Xenopus tropicalis: one gene and its partners. The protein of the gene in region 2 interacts with the protein of the main gene of each other region in a pairwise test. Links are inferred from orthologs where the notes say so. Each region holds a gene or a part of one and is shown on either strand. Other genes may lie near its edges.

What was found.
Region 1: the proteins of adrb2 (region 2) and gpr37 interact in a protein complementation assay, tested with the Homo sapiens proteins (2 studies listed by BioGRID and IntAct, with this or other methods). The link is inferred for Xenopus tropicalis from reciprocal best matches to the Homo sapiens genes ADRB2 and GPR37.
Region 3: the proteins of adrb2 (region 2) and vapa interact in a protein complementation assay, tested with the Homo sapiens proteins (2 studies listed by BioGRID and IntAct, with this or other methods). The link is inferred for Xenopus tropicalis from reciprocal best matches to the Homo sapiens genes ADRB2 and VAPA.
Region 4: the proteins of adrb2 (region 2) and arrb2 interact in binary tests that used the Homo sapiens proteins (3 or more experiments, as listed by UniProt). The link is inferred for Xenopus tropicalis from reciprocal best matches to the Homo sapiens genes ADRB2 and ARRB2.

Annotation. Positions count from the first base shown.
Region 1 is NC_030679.2:70,502,310-70,507,318, forward strand, and holds part of gpr37 (prosaposin receptor GPR37), read right to left. Parts: intron 870-5,009; coding exon 51-869; 3' UTR 1-50.
Region 2 is NC_030679.2:41,026,696-41,032,327, forward strand, and holds adrb2 (beta-2 adrenergic receptor), read right to left. Parts: upstream 3,611-5,632; 5' UTR 3,401-3,610; coding exon 2,141-3,400; 3' UTR 410-2,140; downstream 1-409. UniProt on the Homo sapiens protein: Beta-adrenergic receptors mediate the catecholamine-induced activation of adenylate cyclase through the action of G proteins. The beta-2-adrenergic receptor binds epinephrine with an approximately 30-fold greater affinity than it does norepinephrine.
Region 3 is NC_030682.2:104,673,294-104,678,904, reverse strand, and holds the start of vapa (vesicle-associated membrane protein-associated protein A), read right to left. Parts: upstream 3,759-5,611; 5' UTR 3,465-3,758; coding exon 3,407-3,464; intron 1-3,406. UniProt on the Homo sapiens protein: Endoplasmic reticulum (ER)-anchored protein that mediates the formation of contact sites between the ER and endosomes via interaction with FFAT motif-containing proteins such as STARD3 or WDR44.
Region 4 is NC_030679.2:142,396,266-142,401,274, reverse strand, and holds part of arrb2 (beta-arrestin-2), read left to right. Parts: intron 1-747; coding exon 748-883; intron 884-1,729; coding exon 1,730-1,814; intron 1,815-1,941; coding exon 1,942-2,014; intron 2,015-3,413; coding exon 3,414-3,551; intron 3,552-3,634; coding exon 3,635-3,718; intron 3,719-4,755; coding exon 4,756-4,829; intron 4,830-5,009. UniProt on the Homo sapiens protein: Functions in regulating agonist-mediated G-protein coupled receptor (GPCR) signaling by mediating both receptor desensitization and resensitization processes.

The DNA of each region.
Region 1 (5,009 bases), about 29 Mb from region 2:
TCAAATGTGTATCACAGACTTTTATACAAGTACAGTGCGAATGGAGATTTTCAACAATGGGTTCCTACTGATGCAAATGTGGAAATTTCACGCCGTATTGTACTAAATGGGGAAAGTTCCAGTTCTGTAGTGTATTCATTATCATTATCGTCACTGGTTGCAGTTGAGGACTTTTGAATGCATTCATCACAGCAACAACAGCAGCACTCCATGAATGCTCGACTAAAAGGCTTGCAGAGGCAAAAAAGGAGGACAGGAGTAACACATGACTTGAAGAACAAAAGAAATTGGCTAATGAGATGAAGAAGATCCAGAGTTTGCCTTGACACGCCACTGGACATATAAGCTGCTACAATATTGCAAATATTTTCAGGGATTACACAAAATCCATATAAAATGGTTAGGGCTACCACAGTACAATTCATTTGACCTTCAAGCTGAATCTGACGTTTATTTCCTCTTGTGCAAGCTTTCTCAGCTCGTTTTATTTTTCTTGCTGTGACCAATGAGCAGGTTATTGTAAAAAGAGTAGGCAAGCAAAAATAGCAACCAAAATACCACCACAGCCTTGCACCATCATATGTAAGGGCCAACACATAAATTGTATCAGGGAGTTCAGTGGATATTTTTACAACACAGCGCTCACGAAGAAACCGACCATTCACTCCTGTATCCTCCACGGATAACTGTCGAAGGACAACTTCAGGCAGTGCTAGAACTAGCGCACCCACCCATATCACAGCCAGCTTGGCAGTTGTTGAAGTGCAGTTCTCGATCATCTCATAATACATCTGTACATTAGTGGCAGCACGGAATCGGTCAATGCACAGGGCACACAATGTAAAGGTGGTCACTCCAAGGGAAGCTATCTGTTGGGAAAAACATATTATCATTTGATTAGACTGGCCATTTGTACAGACTTTAAAATCACCAATATTCTTCATCACCTATTCATCAATAGCATTTATGCTTATAGAAACAAGTACACAGTGCCTTACCATAATATGAATAGTTATCAATCGCAAGAGATAAAGAAGGAAACATAGAATGAGAAGGCAACAAAGAAATATAATAAAATTAAGTATCACAAATATCTACTCAGTTCAGTGTCTGGATACAATACTGACGAAGGGGGGGAGTGCCCCCCAGAAACGGTGATTTTTTTTGTGGTACATTGGCATAATAAATGGGGTAAGCTCCCCAGCTGAAATTTTGCTTGAGTGCAGTCTCTATTTCTGCTTTGTTGGATACAATACTGGACATTTCTCTTCTCTATAGGTGGGTGAACATTTATTGCAATTATTTTATTGCTCCGCTGCTGGGGAGAAAAAACAGCAATGAAAACCTGAATGCCAGTTTCTAAATAAAAAAGGCACTTTAAAAAAGCTCTGCTAAAACACCTAATGAAATAATATTCAGGGCTCAGCTGTATTGTGTTAAAAAGTAAAACTAAATAAAATGCTATGTTTGCATTGCTAAAAAATATGTCCATTATTTATCAAAAAAGCATGAATCACTTGCTTACATTGGTTAAACTCCTTTAATAACCTATAGTTATATAAAAAGAAAAATAAAGACTAATTAGGTATATTCTTCTAAAACAGAAAAAATACAATAAATATTTACATGGGATTAATCAGGTGGACCTGCTAAAATCTACAGTTAGTATTGATGTTGGTATATAGGGTTAATGTATGTGAGTGTATAGATAGGTCAGTATAGGTTTGTGTGTGCTGGGTTCACTTGGAATGGTTGAACTTGATGGACTCGGTTGAACTTGATAGACCAGGTAAGGGCCTTACCTAAATGTTATCAAAAGGTAGGAAACATGGATTTGTCATGAAAGTAGTTCTACCCAGACAACGAAAAATAGCCCCTGACCACTATTTCTCCACTAAACTTTCCAGATAGCCTTACACATTCAGGCAGATAGACTGCCAACAGTTTCTTACCTTCAGAGAACCTATGTTCTATATCTATATTCCAGTGGCATAGATCAGACATTAAATAAATATTTCCATTAAGTGTAGTTCACTTTATAATGGTTGTAAGAATACTTTTTGGCCATATACTTTTGCCCATATAAGGGAGTCTAAACTTAAACATAGAAATTGATATAAATTTACTCAGTGATTCTCTGAGCACTTTTGAAATTTACAATAATTTTCTAGATATTTGAAATTTTCTAGATATTTAAAATTTTTAACCTGCTAATACCAGGCTTTTTGAGTCAAGTAAGCATCAGTAACACCAGAACGTGCATAGAAATGCATAGGTAGTTAGTCCTGCTGACACCTTTAAAGAGAGTTCTTGAGCTGACAGCCTGCTAAACTGCAAATATCTCACAAACCACTTAAAATAGATAATAAAGATAAAGTGCAAATGTGCTCAGAATATGTTTACATCAGTTTATTTTGTTGTGTTTAGTTCTCTTATCTTTTTAAACAATGTACATCATGCCAGCACCTATGTATACAGCTCATGTTCAAACATACAAAACATTGGGTACACCTAATTCCTCTGGTACATTGGATGTCCAATCCTAAATATTCTTGCTTGGTAAACTGGTCAGCTCAGGAGGATTCATTGATTCTTAACTACCTTAACACTAATTTATTCTAATAGTCTGGTCAGAAAAATCCTCTAAATGTAATATCCTTAGTGATGCCAATATAGTTCCTATAAATGAGAAATTGTTAAAATATTGGTTGGATCCCAAAAATGGGTCTCCATTAGTGTGGCTTTCCATAATCTATTTTAATACAGTGATACAGAATTTAATACTATAACCAACATTAATCAAAATAGGATAATTCATTATTTCTAAAATAATTGTTGAGTTGCAACTCTGACCCTGAGAATTAATCTGGTTTCCAAATAATTTGCAGAGTGGTGTATCATTACAAAGCAATATCCAACACTATCATAAAGAAGATTTATCTTGCAAAACAATTATACTACAAGAAAAGGTCAGGCTTCCAAAACTTCAGCCTCTCCAGACTTGTTCTCCCTGACTACAGTGTATTTATTCTATCCCCTCATGGAATGTTTGCACATGTCAGCGCCCATGCTTAACTCATCTATACCTAGGGGCTGGATTTCTTCTTAAGTTTAAACTTGTCTTGGCAATTCAGTTAATCCATTAAATTGTTTTTGCTTATTACATGGAGGCCTATTTTATGCTATAAAAGCCTTGCATTGTCAATCCTTTGAATATATAATTCCAATAAAACTTTACCAGGCCTCTCCTCCTTAGTTTTTCTTTTCTCTCTCTTGCTTGTTTAAACTTCTTTATGTTTGTATAATATTTATTATGGTAGCAGTTTTTTCACATTGAGTTGCCATCTCTAGTCTGTGACATGTTCTTAAATTGATCTGCAGTCCATTACAAACTATTAACAAAAAATTAAAGGTATGGAGTTGAGGATCTGAAAGAATGGCAGCTGCTTGGAAAAATCCATACTGACTGTAATAAGGATTAACAGCAGCTTTAGAGTTTATGCAGTAATGCCTGGTAATTGCCCTTTAACATGCAGTCAAACATACCAAAGCTTCAAAATGTAGTTTTAATTAATATTTATTAATGTATTTTGGGTACATATGATCTATAACCACCTAACAATTGTGGTATAAAGTACAAAAATATATAACTTAATTATAAGAGTTTTAATTTAAGGGATTGTATTCTTTCTTCTGCATGTACAAAAGGACATACTACATTTTTAAACACCCAAATATTTCTCAGCATGTGAATATGTTGTATTTTTATTTTTCCAAGACTGGATGGGTACTGGTTGAGGTTACTTACTATTGAGTTATTTTAGCCAAATTAACTAAGGCTCATAAGCACTAAAGTGGATGCAAAATTGAGCAAACTTTACATGCTCCTTGTAGGGATCACCAATACGCAATTAGCATATACATTGGCATAACAAGCACAAATCTTTGGTGTACACAATGTAACATGTGCCTGCAATTGCACTGGAATTCTGGGAATAAAATGCTGCATTGTGGGCAATTAATTTGCAAAAGGGCTTTGTTGACTATACATTTCGAACTGATTTTTAATTGGGTTATTATAAATGAACATATTCCCAGTGTATAAATAAAGCACAAAATGTTCAGAGGAATTTCAATGGACTAAGTCAATATCTTTGCTAACTTTTGCTATAATATATATATATATATATATATATATATATATATATATATATATATATATAGCGAGAGAGAGAAAGAGAGATTCTGATTGATGATATCAGAGGCACATCATCAGAGAGAGCAGGTCTAGCTGTTGCCGGTGGGAAAGTGTATAGAGGATGTCCAGACTAACAACATTTCTATATGTGTGTGAGACAATTTATTTTCCCAAGGGTTTGGGTAACAGGAAGACTTAATGGGTTTTTTTTTCTTTGTAGGCCAATAAACAGTTACTCTGTTCACTATAAAGAGTGCTGAAAGTATCATACAGTACAATCTTCCCATCAGGGAGGAACGGTGATTGTGCTTCTGTAACCCAGGACATTTTGCAGAGAGAATTAACTTCAGAAATTGCCTGGGCTGACTGTTTCAGGTATGCCCCTGTAGTTAAACCCCTTGTTAGGAAATTATTTGGAACATATATGATATGTAATAGGGTCTGAGCAAAGTATTTAACAGCATCAGGAAAGGAAGAGAAGAAACCCAGATGCAAGATTCAGCCAGAAATCGCATTTACTTTCTCTTGCATGACTAATGTTCTAGAATCCTCCTTGACTACATCAGAGGCCCAGAAATTGCTTAATTTTGGGATTAGCTGGGATAACTTAATTATTCAGTGCAATGAAAAGGCCAAAGTTCAGTTGATCCAGAAAATCTTGGGTGGCCACAAATAACCAAAAAAGTAAAAGAATAATTTAGCCATTCCATGTTTAGTTTCTCATTTAAGGCTGACAGTTTAAAGGTTACACCTCTGTCTACTTAAATTAGGATATAGCTTTATAATTGTTTCTGACATTTACTGTTTTCCC
Region 2 (5,632 bases):
CAGCCTAATATGCACTCATTAGACTACTCCATAACACTAAAAATAAATTGCACTATGCAGCAGCTTCCGTAGGAGCCCTGTGACCGCTATAGGAATCTGAGGCTGCTGAGAGTAAATCTTTTCCTAAGTCACTAGTATTTCCTACTCAGCGACCAAACCAACCTAGCGCTTAAGGAATGCCGTGCGTTCCCCTATTGATAACATGTCAAGTAGCATGCACTCTGACATATGGTAACCCTACTGCTGAACATATATTGATCTCCTTTGAGAATCACCTTAAATGCATAAAGGTCAACAGTATTTTGTGATCGCTGAACGGTAAACACACTAATGTTTTAGGCAATTCTTATCTGCAAATCTCTAAAAAACAAGAGAGGGGGTGGGGGAACACACAAACACAAGCCAGATTAATAAATAGCACAATGACCTTTAATAAGAGCAACATACAATACTGTAAGGCTTGGAAATGTGCAAAAGAGCTGATCTGCTAGTGACCCTGTGAGCTGCGCAGAGGAAATGTATGGAACAGACATGCCTTGTGCGATAGGGAGAACTCAGCCTGTCCAGCAGGGCGTATTAAAGTGATAGACCATAATAATTTGTAATGTCCTGTGTCTGTAGCCTATCAACTATTTTGTTTTTATATTCTTATTTATGAATGAGCCTCTGCTTTACTTCCTTCGTCTGTGGTTTCCTAGTTTATGCCTAAACATACCCCATTAAATCTATACTGAGTAGAATCATTGAAGAGACAAGAGGAAACAACCCGCAAGCTTGTCTTTAAGTGCTGCTGAACTACAACTCTCAGAATCCTACCACTGTCATGGGCAACTGCTGAGCACTGTAGTGCAGTCACATCTGGAAAGCCCCATATTTTGCTCATAACCCAGAGATAACTGATTAATTACCCTGACAGGACTTGGTTTCAGCCAGAGATCAGACACTACAGAACAGCAGTAGGAACATCTGTTCTGCCCCATCTAGGAGACAAGGACTCATTTATCTCGCAAATAGGGATCTAGGAGGCTGGGCTCACCGAAAAAACAGATTAGTTTGCCATCAAGAAGGGGATGGGTCCTCCACTCAACTTTGGACTTCACTGCTAAAATTAGATGAACTAAGTTAGACCTTTAACCCTTCTATCCTTAAAATACACTTTTGGTTAGAGGCTCCAGTATACGTGACAGTCACTGCAAATGTCAAATTGCTTATAAAAAGTGCCACTTTCCAACCTGCAACAGAGGGGTTAAAGGGGAATGCAAAGATTGGCACAAACCTAAAAGGGTGGCTGGAAATGTATTGAGTTAGCTCTGCGACTTTTTTTTTTTTTTTTACTGCATTTCCTCCCTGAGAAACCATGAAAAAAAAGAATTTATTTACAGGTGCAAAAGTACACAATGGTGGTAACTATAGCAACTATTCTGATATTATTTTACATGGTTTCACAGCAGCTTGCAAAACACGACCAACCAAAGCTGGTTGCTATAGGTTACTGCAATTGTGCCTTTTTGCACCTATGCTGAATGACCCCCAAGGGTCTCTCCTGGTTGCAACACACAGTTTTCATCAGTCTTATACAGAATATACGTTTTCCTATCTCTCACAACCCAACTTTTGCAATTTCAAAAGTTCAAAATATTAAGCTCAGCACATTAACCCCATCATTACTCAGGAGAGCTATCTCAAGGAAAGTAGAATTAACCCTGTCCCTTCCGCCAACAGCAGCTGTTTTTTGTATTATTAAGGGGTAGAAAAGGGGGGAAAAAGCAAGATTTTTTTTTTTTAAGTTTCAGAATTCTTGAACTTAGAATTCAATTTTTTTTTAAGGGTTTGAGGTAGATTTTTCTTCAGTAAAGTACACAGGGCAGCAACATAAAAATATAAAAGCCATTACATTATAACAAAAGATCTCTTACCTTAATTTAAGAGGAACTGAAAATAGACAGAAATGTACATTTTCTCATAATAAATTTATACATTCTGCAAGACATGGGCACTGCCCTTCTGCAAAATATACATATATAATATACATATAAAAACATTTTCCTTTGTATTATACATTCGGATATCTGGTTGACCCTTGTATTGCAATAATCCAGTTTGTTGTAATAGTTCAAATATTAAAAAAAAATCGACAATCCTATAATAAGCAATCATGCGTGTTATGATTCTTGCCCAGTGGTTCCAAGCTAAAATCTAGAAGAGTACCTTCACAGTTCAAAAGGGAGGGATTGGGAGTTTTCTCCTCTTTAAATAAAACTTCACAAGTCCTGTCTTTAGAATACTGACAAGGTTCTGTGTCTTCGTTGTATGCACTGTTCCCATTGCTCTGGGGGTACCCATTGGCATAGGCTTTGGAGCCCGGTTTCCTTAAGCACAGCAGCTCCTGAAAAGTGTATCTGAAATCTGGGCTCCTGCAGTAGATTAACGGGTTAAAGGCAGAGTTGACATATCCCACCCAGTTCAAGAAGTTGTAAACTTTGACAGGGATAAAGTCTTTGTGCATCACCTGGACAATGTTGACTATAAAAAAGGGGAGCCAACACAAAGTAAAAGTGCCCATTATTATCCCCAAAGTCTTCAGTGCCTTGTGCTCCTTCAACCAAAACTTTGAGGTCCTTTTATTTCCTTGCTTACCATTGGTGTCCTGTTGGTTATTCTGGTTGTGGAACCTTCCCTCGCTTTTGTCTATTTTCTTTAGTTGTTTTTTGGCCTCCTGGAAGACCCTTGCGTAGACAAAAATCATGACCACCAGAGGTAAGTAGAAGGAGATGATGGAAGAGGAGATGGCATAAGCAGGGTTGGTGAAGAAAAAACAACAGGAGGGGTCATCATAGCAATGCAAGGCACTCTCCTCCTCTATCCTATACCAGTGCATGTAGATGGGGAGGAAAGAGGTAAGTGTGGACACCACCCACACCAGCAGGATGACAATCCTGGCTTTGCACTTGGTCAGGAGGCTCTGATACCTGAATGGAGAGGTAATGGCGAAGTACCTATCCACTGCAATGACGCAAAGGGTCTCTATGCTGGCAGTGACGCAAAGGATATCCACTGATGTCCAGAACTCGCACCAGAAGTTATTGAAAACCCAAGTGTCCAGGATGATGGAACTCGCTCCGAAGGGCACCACTATCAGCCCCATCAGCAGGTCCGCACAGGCTAAAGACGTGATGAAGTAGTTGGTGACCGTCTGCAGCCTCTGGAACTTGGCTATGGCAGTGATCACCAACACGTTGCCGAGCACAATCACCAACACGATGCAAGACATGATTATGCCCATGCCCACCATCCACGCATCCCCGGGCTTATCGCTGGCGTTGCTAGTGTTGGAGACGTTGGAGACCAGCTGTTCGAGGGTGCTGTTAGGGTAGGGGCTGGCGGTGACCCGCTGTTCCATAGCTTTGCAGTCCCTTTGACTTTACTTCCACTTGTTAGGAGTCGGTTGGGTGTGACACGCAGCGCTGAAAGTACTCCTGCCCCGCGTATATCCAGCGCATTTAGCCATGGGGGAGGCGGAGTTGCCCGGTGTCGTTCATTTGTGCCCGTCCTGTTTGTGGGGCGTTAGACATGGAACTACCTCTCTCTCCTGAGAGTCTCTTCTGATTCTGGGCTGTGGGCTCGCCTGCTTTCTTTTATTAACACCCGCCCTTACGTCACAACGGGCTCCAGCCAATCCCCGGAGAGCAAGAGCGGGATACCGCGTAACACCGGCTGGTCGCTGCCTTTCTCTTTTCCTTTCGGAAGTTGCCTGCGCTAATAGTTAGCTGCGCTATACTGCGCTATACTGCACGGCGGATCAAACGGTGCCACTTACAGGCTTTAAGCAGGGTGGGCTCGAAGTTGCACGGCAGTGCATCTAATCAGTTGCTGATGTACAAGTACAGCCCCTGGTATCCCCCGAGAGTTCGAATTCTACAGCTACTGGGGCTGACTGGACATTACTGGACTCTTTCTGCGATTGGCAGATGTTTAGCTATGTCCAAAGTTTGATGTTTAGGTACAATTCCCACCATTGATTAGTTGGATAGCTTGTGTTACATATCCCCCTGCTTTAGGGTGAAGACACACAGAGCTACTAGTCGCAGCTTCTTTTTCACAGCTACTAAACGCCAGAAAATACCCTCCCATGGACAATACTGAGAATTGCCTCTGCTAAAACACAGGTACAGCCAATTATCAGTAAATGATCAGCATTGTCTACTTTAGTATATATACTAGTAGCTCTGTGTGTCTTCACCCTTAAGCGTCACATAACCAGCTACTACTTGTATTTTATTTATGATTTATTTCTTGTCATTCTTTTGCCCAGTGTATCTGATATCTGTGCAACACCTATTCTGCATTGCAGAGGCTATTGTGGCACTATGCGCTAATGGGTAAGGGCAGTGAACAGAATAGGAAACAACGTCAATCATTTAAACACTAAAAACAGTCAGAACTGTAATTTATGTACAGAGTTGCAGCTATGAAGGCATGCTGCAACCAGCTAACCCATTCCCAAGGGCAAAGCAATAATCAGAGCAGGGAGGGTGAAGACTATGGTGGCCCCATACTGCTAATTGTTGCACCTCTGCTTTCTTCTAATTGTTGCACTGCAGCCAAGAGCAGAGCCCATGGGCATATACTGTATGTATGGGAAGAAAAGAAGTCGGCAATAAACCTTCGGACTATGTATAGTAATTGTATCTACAGCTGTCATAAAAGATATGTTCAAATTCTTCTTCAGTGCAGAGTAAACTTGCAAAAAGTACAGAGAAAATAGAGCTGCTATATTGTATGTGAGTGTACTGAAATAACTTGCCACCTAGGTAATTATTAAGTGAGAGTTTTGCTTTTGGCACATATTAGTGGTACCAGGGGGGCAAGGGGCTACTTAGATCACCCCATTGCCGTAGTAGCTTTTGTGGTGATGTGGCCCAAAAAACTCACTCGGCAGGCCTTTCAGCTGTTGTTGAACTACAGGTCCCAGAACACTAAAGAATTCCCCCCCGTATTCAACGGTCATTGGGTGCTGGGAGTTTAATAGCAAAAAAAAGGCTCATCTTGCTTTACTCCCCCTACTATAAGCAGCACTTCCTGCCTCCAGTCCGGCTTGGTGGTGGACAAAAGATGGACCCTGGAAGTCACCCTTTTTTGAATCCCCCAAAGCTCTGCCGATAACAACCGATGAGAATCAGCCAGCAGGCAGCTGTAACTTATGTGTACAGTACAATGCTATGGGAATAGCAGGGGGAAAGTGAGTAACTCTTGTTGTAAGTACACATTTAATTAATTTATTGCAATGGCAGGGTTTTTTGGCTCCATTTCAGCCTCCTTACTGTAATGTCTCTGCGTCTTGTACCATGTTGTTTCTCTGTTGCTTTTTACCATTGTGCATAAGATATATACCATTTTAATGTATAAATAAAATATCATAGCCTTCTGTCTTGCATTATCATTTTATATAATGTGGTCTCTATGCCATTTAGTCCATGTGATCCTCTTTAACCAGTGGCAGAACTATTTAGGGGGCAGCAAGTTCAGCCCAGCTTTAATAAGTCAAGGAGGCATACCAAGCAGTGAGAACGGTGGAAGAGTATGTGTAAAAGGCGGAGAGGTGTAAAAGTTTGCATCTGGTTACATTACTGCT
Region 3 (5,611 bases), on a different chromosome or scaffold from region 2:
AGTGATCTGTGCAAACATACCTTCTATATAAACGTTTTGTTAAAAAAAAAATCAACACATTAGACACAGCAGGTCCATCAACAACGTAATAAGTTGACAAAATCATAAAAACCACCAATATATCCAAACCCTCAGCTACACAAAATACTAGGGGGTCAAGTTAACTTTGACCCTGCAGTCAAAATCATCCTTACAAAAGAATGTACGAGTCCAATGGTTACCATTTCCAGAATAAAGGTTGAACTTTATGGAGTTATTCCTTTTACCAATCTGCTGAAACCAATGATACCCTATATTAGTCATGGAAATGAAGACACTTATAACCAATCACCCAGTTAATGCATCCACTTAGGATAACCAACATTGTCTGGGGCCACTGTATAGTCACGCCACAGTTGCTCACTCAAGATGGAAACCTAGTTGGATGAGACTCCAAACTGTTAACATGCTTGGGTTGTGTGCAACAGAGAAAAATGTTACACCAAAAAACCATAAAAAGAAAAAAAAAAAAAAAAAGCACAAGGAAAGCTACTAACACTGAGGTAGCCTATATGTTAGGCACCCACCAGGGAGCAAATTAGGATATTTACAAGAGTAAATATATTCAATATGTGCATGTGCATATGTCTAAACCTGAATTGGGATGGTGAACATACCCTTAGAAAACAAGTGTCCCAGACCTAGGACAGTCTGTACATACATGTGCCCCAACATGGCTGCCTGCATGAGGAATAGGCACATGGTGTAGTCCCCAACAGTACTCGGCAGTACTGCTTTTGCAAACCACAGCTGCGGCGGGGAATTCCATTTTTTTAAGTCACAATGACCTTGCAATAAAAAAAAAATATCTTTTTATTTCTAAGATATCAAGAACACAGCATTGTCCTATTACTACAGAGAATAAGGAAATTCGTTTAAAAAATATTTGATTAAAATAGACTTTATGGGAGATGGTCTTCCCTAACTTAGAGCTTTCTGGATAACAGGTATTGGAATAAAAGCGCAAATACCTGCATATAAAGCTTTGACATCCCCATGCTGAAACAAAATCCAGTAATACCTGAAAACTAAACTCATAACTGGGCTTATGACAAATGCCTTACTACTACATTTCTTATTGTGTTACTGGGTGACCACAGACAAAAGTTGTTTCCCCAGTGTCTGTCAGATGAATACCTGCTCCATTAGATTAAGAATACATTAAACTCAGTAGTCCATTCAGGATTTGCCCAGATCCCTGCAAGTCTCAGACAAACCTTCTGAGCCTTGCAGTGCAATTTTGTGCTCCCACATGATGCCATTAGTATAGCTCTGTAGTGGAGTTTCTCATGAAAGGTGAATAATAAAAATTAAAAAATAAATTGTTTAGATTTTTTTTTTTTTTATGACAATAAGGACTGCTACTTCCTTGGTACATGTTTGTGAAGTGCAAAATAAGAAAACAAAGAAAATAGAGAAGCACAGGTTTTTGGCTTAGTTTATAGAATTAAATTGGACATTTATGACCAGATTGGGTGTTTTTTTTTCTGCCTGCACCTAAATGTCACCTAGGATGTTTCTGCAATCCTTTGGATCACTGATGGTCTGACCAAACTAAAAATTTGATCCAAAGCATATCTTTACTTAAAACCTGTAAACCTGACATACCTCAACTCCTTGCTCCCCATTCGTAGGAGCAGATCCTGTAGTGACAGAATTTTACATTACAATGTTTGTAAAGGAGATTTAAAAATGGCAATAACAGTAATGTTTAAAACACCTGTAACCTTCTGTAATCTTAACTTTAATGTAGGCAATTATGTTTCAAATGGGCAGAGAAATTGTGAAATTGCTTATAAAAAGCAGGTGAGGCGTAGGAGAAATAAAAAAAAGAACCAATGGATTCTGGGACATTCCTGCAACAGAGAAATACTGTACTGGTAAGAGTCCAAAGTTCCCTCAGGATTACCAAAAAAAAAAAAAAAAAAAAAACACCACCACACAAACACACTATAGGGACAGCAAATCTGTGTGGTTTGAGTCAGTTTAAAAACAGTTTTGTGGCCTGAAACCTATTTTCTCAGTATGCTTTTAATTGGATTTTGGATTATATGTTAAGAAATTAAAGGAGTTGACACCCCACAACACCTGGATACCTAAGGCTAAAACAGAGAGACCTGGTGGCCAAAAATAAATGTTGTCCTTGAAACCTGCTTAGAGTTCATCCTTTCACTTGTATTATTGATCTGAAATTGTAAGATCTCACCCACCTTATATTTCCTATCACAGTATTCAGGTGGCTATACACAAGAAGATTCACTCATTTGTCCAGGTTGCCAAATGAGCAGCTCTGTGCCCAATATGGGCACCTATGTGCTTGTTTAATGCCAGTTTTCAGAGAGTTCATTTAGTTCCCAAGAAGGCTACCAATATGTGCAGGCGCTGGTGTGGTACTTCGCTTTACAAGCCAATTATATGCTGGGCCATACTGGACTGATCTTCGGGCTAATGATACAGGCGGCCAGGAGAGGACTGCATAAATGAGGCAATGTAACCCATGCCCCAATAGGCATTTACTCCTGCCTGATAGATACCTGGGCAATCTGACAGGAGGACCCATACATGGGCAGATAAAATGTTCTGAAGGGACCAAATCAGCAGTTTAAACCTGCCCATGTATGGCCAACTATACTAATTGCCTTGTCAGGAACAACAGTCTGCCTGTGCACACTTTCATCTTATGTGAATCTAACAATACTTAAATTAAATCCTGAACATTAAACAAGTTTTCTGTACAGCTGCCCAAGCAATCTATGGCTACTGACATGACTGCTCTGAGCACACACACAACCCTGTATTTATATAGCAACAACGAACACCACATCATTTTACATTGATTATATATGATTCACATAAATCCCTGCCCCAGTGTATTTTACAATGTAATGCCCAATCACACCTGAACACCACAAGTCAAATAATATTTACTTATTGCTTTAGAGCTGCAAGAGTGGGAATCATGGGCCAATTAACACTTACTAAAACATTTCATGTAATGTATGTTTGATGTATACACCCTTCTACTGTACAGCATTGTGAAATCTGCTGGTATTGTACAATCACGTGTTATTCAGGCTGTCACTGTTAGTATTAGAAGTAAAACAAAGCACACTGTAAGCAGCTAGCACTGGCTGTCTCAGTGCCATAGACTAAAGGGCCAAGCTGCAGCCCTCCAGTGGTGGATAGGAGTGCAGCTGCCAGTACCAATGTGACAGAGATTAGCCACCCCGATTCACCACAACAGAGGCAACAGCAATCTCCACACTCTCTCCATCCATCAGAGGCCTTTTCCCCGCAAGACACAACTGGAAAGCGGGGCATTGTGGCCTCACATCCCGGAACCACATAACCAGATACGTCCCGTTACCTTTGAATTTCAGCTCGTTGGGCGGGTCAAGAATAAGGATTTGTTCGTGTTTGGACATGGTGACCCCGGGTGTAACTACCGCCATTCACCGCTCGGCTGGCCCACAACACGCAAAATAAGAGGAGGCCGCTTGTGTTACGTGGCCGAATATGAGATGTCAAATGAAGGCCCAGCAGGTAGGCAGCTGGGTGACTTAAAGAGGCAGCGAGCGCTGGAAGACAAGGCTGGAGCGGGGAGAACGGGCCAAAGCTGGCACAGCCTAGCGGTGTGGGCTCCGAGGCTCGGGTTACTATGGTCAGTTCAGTATCGGCTCTTTCCTCCTCCGCCTCCCCCCTTGCGCTCCTTGTCACCGCTGACTCAACACACAGTACAGTGCGGCAACCGCGTAATGCCCCAAGCGCGTCACGGCCGGGAGGAACACGGACTGGGTGACGTCAGCACGCACATGCGCGTAACAAGCGTGTGTCCTGGGTAACGCCCACTCGGGATTCGTCCCGTCACACACTTCCACATTAGTGCTTCAAAAACAGTACGGCGTTTTACAGCTGAGCACCGCGGAAGGGATAGCGGTTATGCTGCAACAAATGTGAAGGAAATGTTAGGGAATTTGAAACCAATACAAGTTAATGCTTATTTAGAATGAACGAGGTGTTTGTCAATTGCTTCCCTTTATGCCAGTTTTATAAACGCAGCCTATAGGCGTCGCGCTGTAGTATTCCCACAGGAACGACGTGAGACCACTCTGTAAAGCAACTTGCTCTTGCATGTTTATTGAACTATTCCACTGCATAGGTTCCATTATATTGCATATGGCAATAGACTGAATTTTTCAGTTTGGGAAAAATTGTTAAAGTTCCAGTAAAAATATAGAAAAAAAAGATGTATGTATTCATATTATGTGCATAAATTCTGGTAAAAAATGCTTTTGATTTGTTGTGGCAAAAATAGGCCCTGCCCACAATTACAAGCCGCAAGCACTTTTTAAGGGATCGCCCAAATCCACTATTTTAGGATCCGTCCAAACCCTGAACAATTTTGTGAAAGATTCGTCCAAGTACCGAACTGAATCTGAATCCTAATTTTAGGACGAGGAGGGGATAAAGTGCAGAGTAAAAAAAACTTCAACTTCCATGTTTATGTGACAAAATGTCACGTGATTTTAAGGAATCGGATTCGCTTCGGTCAGAGGCATAAATCTGCCCAAATCCAAATCCTGCTGAAAAAGGCCAAATCTTGGCAAAATACTGGATTTGGTACATCCCTACAACTTTTACATCGCCCGTCAACATGTTATGGTTTTGTCCACTTTAGAGTAAAACCATGTTGCTATTTCCATTTTACTATTTTCATCTTTGGAACAGCTTGATGCCCAGTATTCTTACATTTACCAAAGTATGTGGCATGTTGTGACCCTAATGCACCCAGCCTGCATTAGGCAGGGGGTACAACCTAATAGAAATCATAGAGTTCTATTTAACTTTTTATAACAATTCACTATGATTAATAATATAACACACTAGCTACTAACAGCTAAGAGTAAAGGGTTTATATATAACAATGGATGATTATGGAGTGACAGGTGGCATTTGGGGAAGACATGATTTTATTAACTTCTCATTTTTAACAGCTCATTAGGTCACAGTGTAAGTTTCAGTACAGCCACTTGGGGATTGGACAGGCTGAAGGGAGGTATAAAGCCTATCCAATACCTATGTGGCTGCACAGGGATTTACACTTTGATAATAAAAGATGAACCATTAAGTTGCAGGAAGTTAGAAAATGCCAAAGCTGCAGGTTTTGTATTTTAAAGCATGCATAAGCGGAAGAGCAAAGGACAGCTCCAGTGTAAAACAGTACAGTAGAATAATAAATGAATAAATTAATTAAGAAGGGGTCATTGCAATAATAAATACACATAGATACAAAGTACAGTTACATTAAATATTGTCAGAGACAAGAGGAAGGAGATCCCTGCCCTACAGAACTTACAATATAAGTGGTTTGACAGTGGTTCAGTGTTCTTCTTGCACACTGATAGCATGCATGACATTTTATGTCCAGCACTAAAGAATAATCAGTATCTGAAAATGCCTTTGTATTAAAGTTAGTCTGAATCTTTGCTGGAAAAACATTTACATCACATAATCATGTGAGAATGCAGAAGGCAATTGCATGCATTTACAAGACTGATATGTATTACTGGCA
Region 4 (5,009 bases), about 100 Mb from region 2:
ATGTTTGTGATCATACAAAAGTGACTCCCATTGTAGGCCCCCCAAGGATATTGCACCATACACAATACATTCCAGTGATGATTCTGAGCCCACACACTGTCCAAAAATCACCAGTACATGTATGGCCGGCTTTACTCATTACTCTGGGCCTGCCCTCCATCTTCCGGGGAAAAAACCAATGCAAATGTGATTTTCCCTGTGTACAGAGGGTATTTGCATTTTGTATGGTGCTTGTAAATGTGCCTGAATATTGAGAGGATTGTAGGGAAGTCCAGTTCGAGGCACTGCAGCAGTTGCTACACAAGTGGCTAAGGGAGATGGGTGTTGCAGTAGCTATGGGACTGCAGCGTAAAGATGCTTTCTCAGCAGCAATGCCATTAACTCACTGTGTGCCATAAAGTGGCCATACCCTGTAGTACAGTATGCCGCTTATTGGCTACGGGGCCTACACAGTATGGTTACTCTTCTGTTGACTGGGCTACCATATATATATATATATATATATATATATATATATATATATATATATATATAGTGTGTGTGTGTATGGCTGCCTAAAGGGTAAGTCATTCCTGTCCCCTATAGTGTAGCCTCTGCCACTGTTCCTTCATTCTGATTTTCTGTGTTTTTTTTTCCCATTTACACTGAAATTGGTCTGCTTGTCCTTTGTTTGTAGCAGGGCAAATTGGGGTTTGATGGGGTTTCTCTTGTGCTTCTCTGAGCCCTATGTCTTCTTTTTCCCTTTAGGAACTCTGTACGTTTGGTTATTAGAAAGGTGCAGTTTGCCCCAGAGAAGCCCGGACCCCAGCCAGTAGCTGAGACAACGCGGCATTTCCTGATGTCCGACCGCTCCCTGCATCTAGAAGCATCTTTAGATAAAGAGGTAGGTTTGCTGGGTGCAAACACACTCATTAGGGGTGTGAGGAAATGATGATGCTGATGCATTTCCTCGTTTGAAGTCAATGCTGTGTCTGTGAAAGGAGTTATACCAGCTCAGCTTGCAGTTTCAGTTTTGCCTATGTTGCCATGATCTCTCAGGCTGTTTAGCCACGACCATCCTTATATCTTCCTTTTCCCTACCATTATAATATAATTACTAAGCAACTAGTGTAGGGAATAGCCGAATGGCCCAGGGGTTCTGCTATGAGTACTCTGGATCTTGGCCAGCACAACTGGTCATCCATTCCCTTGAACCACCATTTAGTGATGGGCTGTGTGCTCCCTCAGAGATCAGCTGACAGGAAGTGATGCAGCTCTAACTGTAACAGGAAGTAGTGTGGGAGTAAGAGACAGAACTCTGCCCATTCATTGGCTGTAGGGGCCTAGCATGTATGTGTGCCTTGGCTTGTGTGTGTGCACTGTGAATCCTATGATCCCAGGGGGCGGCCCTTAGTACTTAAAATGGCAGTTTTCTATTTAGGATTACCCAATGGCACATACTGCTAAAAAGCAGGAAGCAGTGTCAGACTGACAGGAGGCACAGCCAATAGACGTTAAGCCTGCTGCCAGGACTATGTGCGACATCATATAAGGAAGTAAAAAAAGCAACTGTAGTGTTTATAGGGGTCACTGACCCCCCAGCACAGGGTCTGTGCAGCAGTGATGGATGATTCTGAGGTGAATCTCTCTTCAGCTGCACATTTTTTGGTTAACTATGTATAATGATTAATGTGAATGTTGTACAAAGGTGAACAACCCCATTAAGTTTTGTTTCCCCTTCCGCTCACAGCTCTATTACCATGGAGAGCCAATAAATGTGAATGTGCACGTGACCAACAACTCCAGCAAGACTGTGAAGAGGGTGAAAGTGTCAGGTAAGTTCTTGCTGCTCTTGCCTTTAATGTAGGCCACAGACATGCATAGAAATATTAGTATACAGGTGCCGGGGCTGGGTGCAGCAGTATATATGTGTTATACTCATTCCCCCTTTATCTCTCGCAGTCAGACAGTATGCAGACATCTGCCTGTTCAGCACTGCCCAGTACAAGTGCCCGGTGGCTCAGATTGAACAGGAGTAAGTACCTCTCATTCATCTCCTCTTCTATTCATCTCCTCTTCCATTCATCTCCTCTTCCATTCATCTCCTCTTTCATTCACCTCCTCTTCCACATACAGAGTTTGCCTTTGTCAATGTCCAACTCCCCCCCCCCCCCCCCCCCCATGTATAATGTCCATGTCAACCCCTTATTTCAATCATGGCCCCCTTTTTGAATGGGGGTGATTCTGAGCTGGGATCATTGTATAACAACTCTTAGTATGTTATAGAATGCCCTGTTCCTAACAACTTTGCAATTGGTCTTCATTATTTATTCTCTATAGTTTTTGAGTTATTTGCCTTCCTCTTCTGTCTCTTTCCATGTTTCACCCCCGGCAGCCAAAAACTATTGCTCTCAGAGGCTACAATTTTATTTTTGTTACTTTTCATAAGTTATCTTTCTATTTAGTCTACCTCCTATACTTATTCCAGTAGGGTGAAGACACACTAGCTCACACTAGCTACTAGTAGCAGCTATGTTTTCATGGCTACTAAACTCTAGAGAGTACCTTGCCATAGACAATACTGAGAATTGCCTCTACTAAAACACATGTAGAGAACATTATCAGTAAAAGATCAGCTTTGTCTATTTTAGTAGCCACAAGAAGTAACTGCTACTTAGTAGCAGCTACTTGTCACGGCTACTAAACGCCAGAAAATCCCCTGCCATAGACAATACTGAGAATTGCCTCTGCTAAAACACACGTAGAGACAATTATCAGTAAATGATCAGCATTGTCTGTTTTAGTAACCACAAGAAGTAATTGCTACTTAGTAGCAGCTACTTGTCATGGCTACTAAACGCCAGAAAATCCCCTGCCATAGACAATACTGAGAATTGCCTCTGCTAAAACATAGAGACAATAATCAGTAAATGATCAGCATTGACTATTTTAGTAGCTGTGACAAGTAGCTGCTACTAGTAGCTCCGTGTGGCTTTACCCTTAGGGTGAAGACACACTGAGCTACTATAAGCAGCTACTTTTTCATGGCTACTAAACTCCAGAAAATTCCCTGCCATAGACAATACTTAGAATTGCCTCTGCTAAAACACACGTAGAGACAATTATCAGTAAATGATCAGTATTGTCTGCTACTAGTAGCTCCGTGTGTCTTTACCCTTATTCAAACCACTGCCTGGTTGCTAGGTAAGATAAGAATCTAGCAACCAGATAGCTGCTAAAATGCCAAAATGGAAAAAAAAGCTAAATAACTGAAAAACTATAAAAAAAAAAATCCATAATAAAGACCAATTGCAAATTGTCTCAGAATATCACCGTCTACGTTATACTAAAGGTTATTCTCTGCCAAGTGCCATTTACCTTTTTGTCTGCCTTGGTCTGTCACTTACCGACCACTCTTTCCCTGTGTCCCCCAGTGATCAGGTGACCCCCAGCTCCACGTTCTGTAAAGTTTACACCCTGACTCCTCTGCTGTCCAATAATCGGGAGAAGAGGGGGCTGGCACTGGATGGAAAGCTGAAACACGAGGACACGAACCTGGCGTCGAGTACCATGTAGGTGGCTAAGCCCCTCGCTATTGGCTTATTATGTACATGTCAAGCGCTGTGTATCACATGGGCTTCTCTTTGCTCCGCAGCGTGAAGGAAGGATCCAGTAAGGAGGTGCTGGGGATCCTGGTGTCCTACAGGGTGAAAGTAAAACTGGTAGTGTCGCGTGGGGGGTAAGTATTCATTTCAACAGGGATAAATGGTGGACGATAAACACAAGTGGGGTAACTTTAAGGTAAGTTTTAGTATGTTATAGAATGGCCAATTCTAAGCATCTTTTCAATTGGTCTTCATTATTTAATTTTTGACTTTCAAACTGGGGTCACTGACCCCAACATCCCAACAGACTATGGGTCTGTGAGGCTGCAGTATTTTTGTTGTTGTTACTTTTTATTCTATTCAGGCCCTCCCCTATAGATATATCAGTCTCTCATTCAAACCACTCCCTAGTTGCTAAGGTAATTTGAACCCTAGTAACCATAGCTGCTGAAATTCCAAGCTGGAGAGCTGATGAAAAAAAAGTAAAATAATTGAACAAAAAAAAAAAAACCACGAATAGTCAAAAAATGAACAACAGTTGCAAAGTGTCCCAGAATATCGCTCTCTACATAAGACTTAGTCCAGTTTGATGTAGAGAGCGATATTCTGAGACATTCATTTTTTGACTATTTGTGGTTTTTTTTAATATCATTTTCAGTTCAGTAGCTCTCCAATTTGGGGTTTCAGCAGCTATTTGGTTGCTAGGGTCCAAGTTACCTTAGCAACCAGGGAGTGGTTTGGATGAGAGACTGGTATATGAATAGGGGAGGTGCTGAATAGAAAAGAAAGTTACAAAAAGTCACAATAGCAATTAGTAGTAGTCTGTTCTCTGCCGGGGTCAGTGACCCCCATTTAAAAACGGCAAAGAGCTGGAAGAAGTAGTCGAATCATTCTAAAAACTGTAACAAATAAATAATGAAGACCAATTGAAAAGTTCCTTGGAAATGGCCATTGCGTAACATACTAAAAGTTACCTTAAAGGTGAACCGCCCCTTTATAACGAGGCTCTGTAAGAATGCTTGCCAGTGATTGGCTGTGCTGGATAGGCTTTTAGGTGATGCCACATGTTTAATGAGGAGAGTAATAGGGTAACTTATGTGAAAGTCTGTATGCCCATAATAATATGTGAATATAATGATGTATTTATTAAGTCTGTGTGGATCTCTTACAGCGACGTGGCCGTAGAGCTGCCCTTTGTCCTGATGCACCCGAAGCCTCCAGAGAACATCTCCCGGCCTTTGTCAGGTACGCAGCAGCGCAGGAAAGCAACGGCAAATCATTCCTCTATGCCTCGCTGCCCTTTCCTTTCTCTTTGTGATACCTTTTGAAAGCTCAGACTCAGGCACACTTTACTGCTGCGCTGCAAGTTGGAGTGATATCCCCCCCAGCAGCCGATCAGCAGAACAATGGGAAGGGAGCAAGATA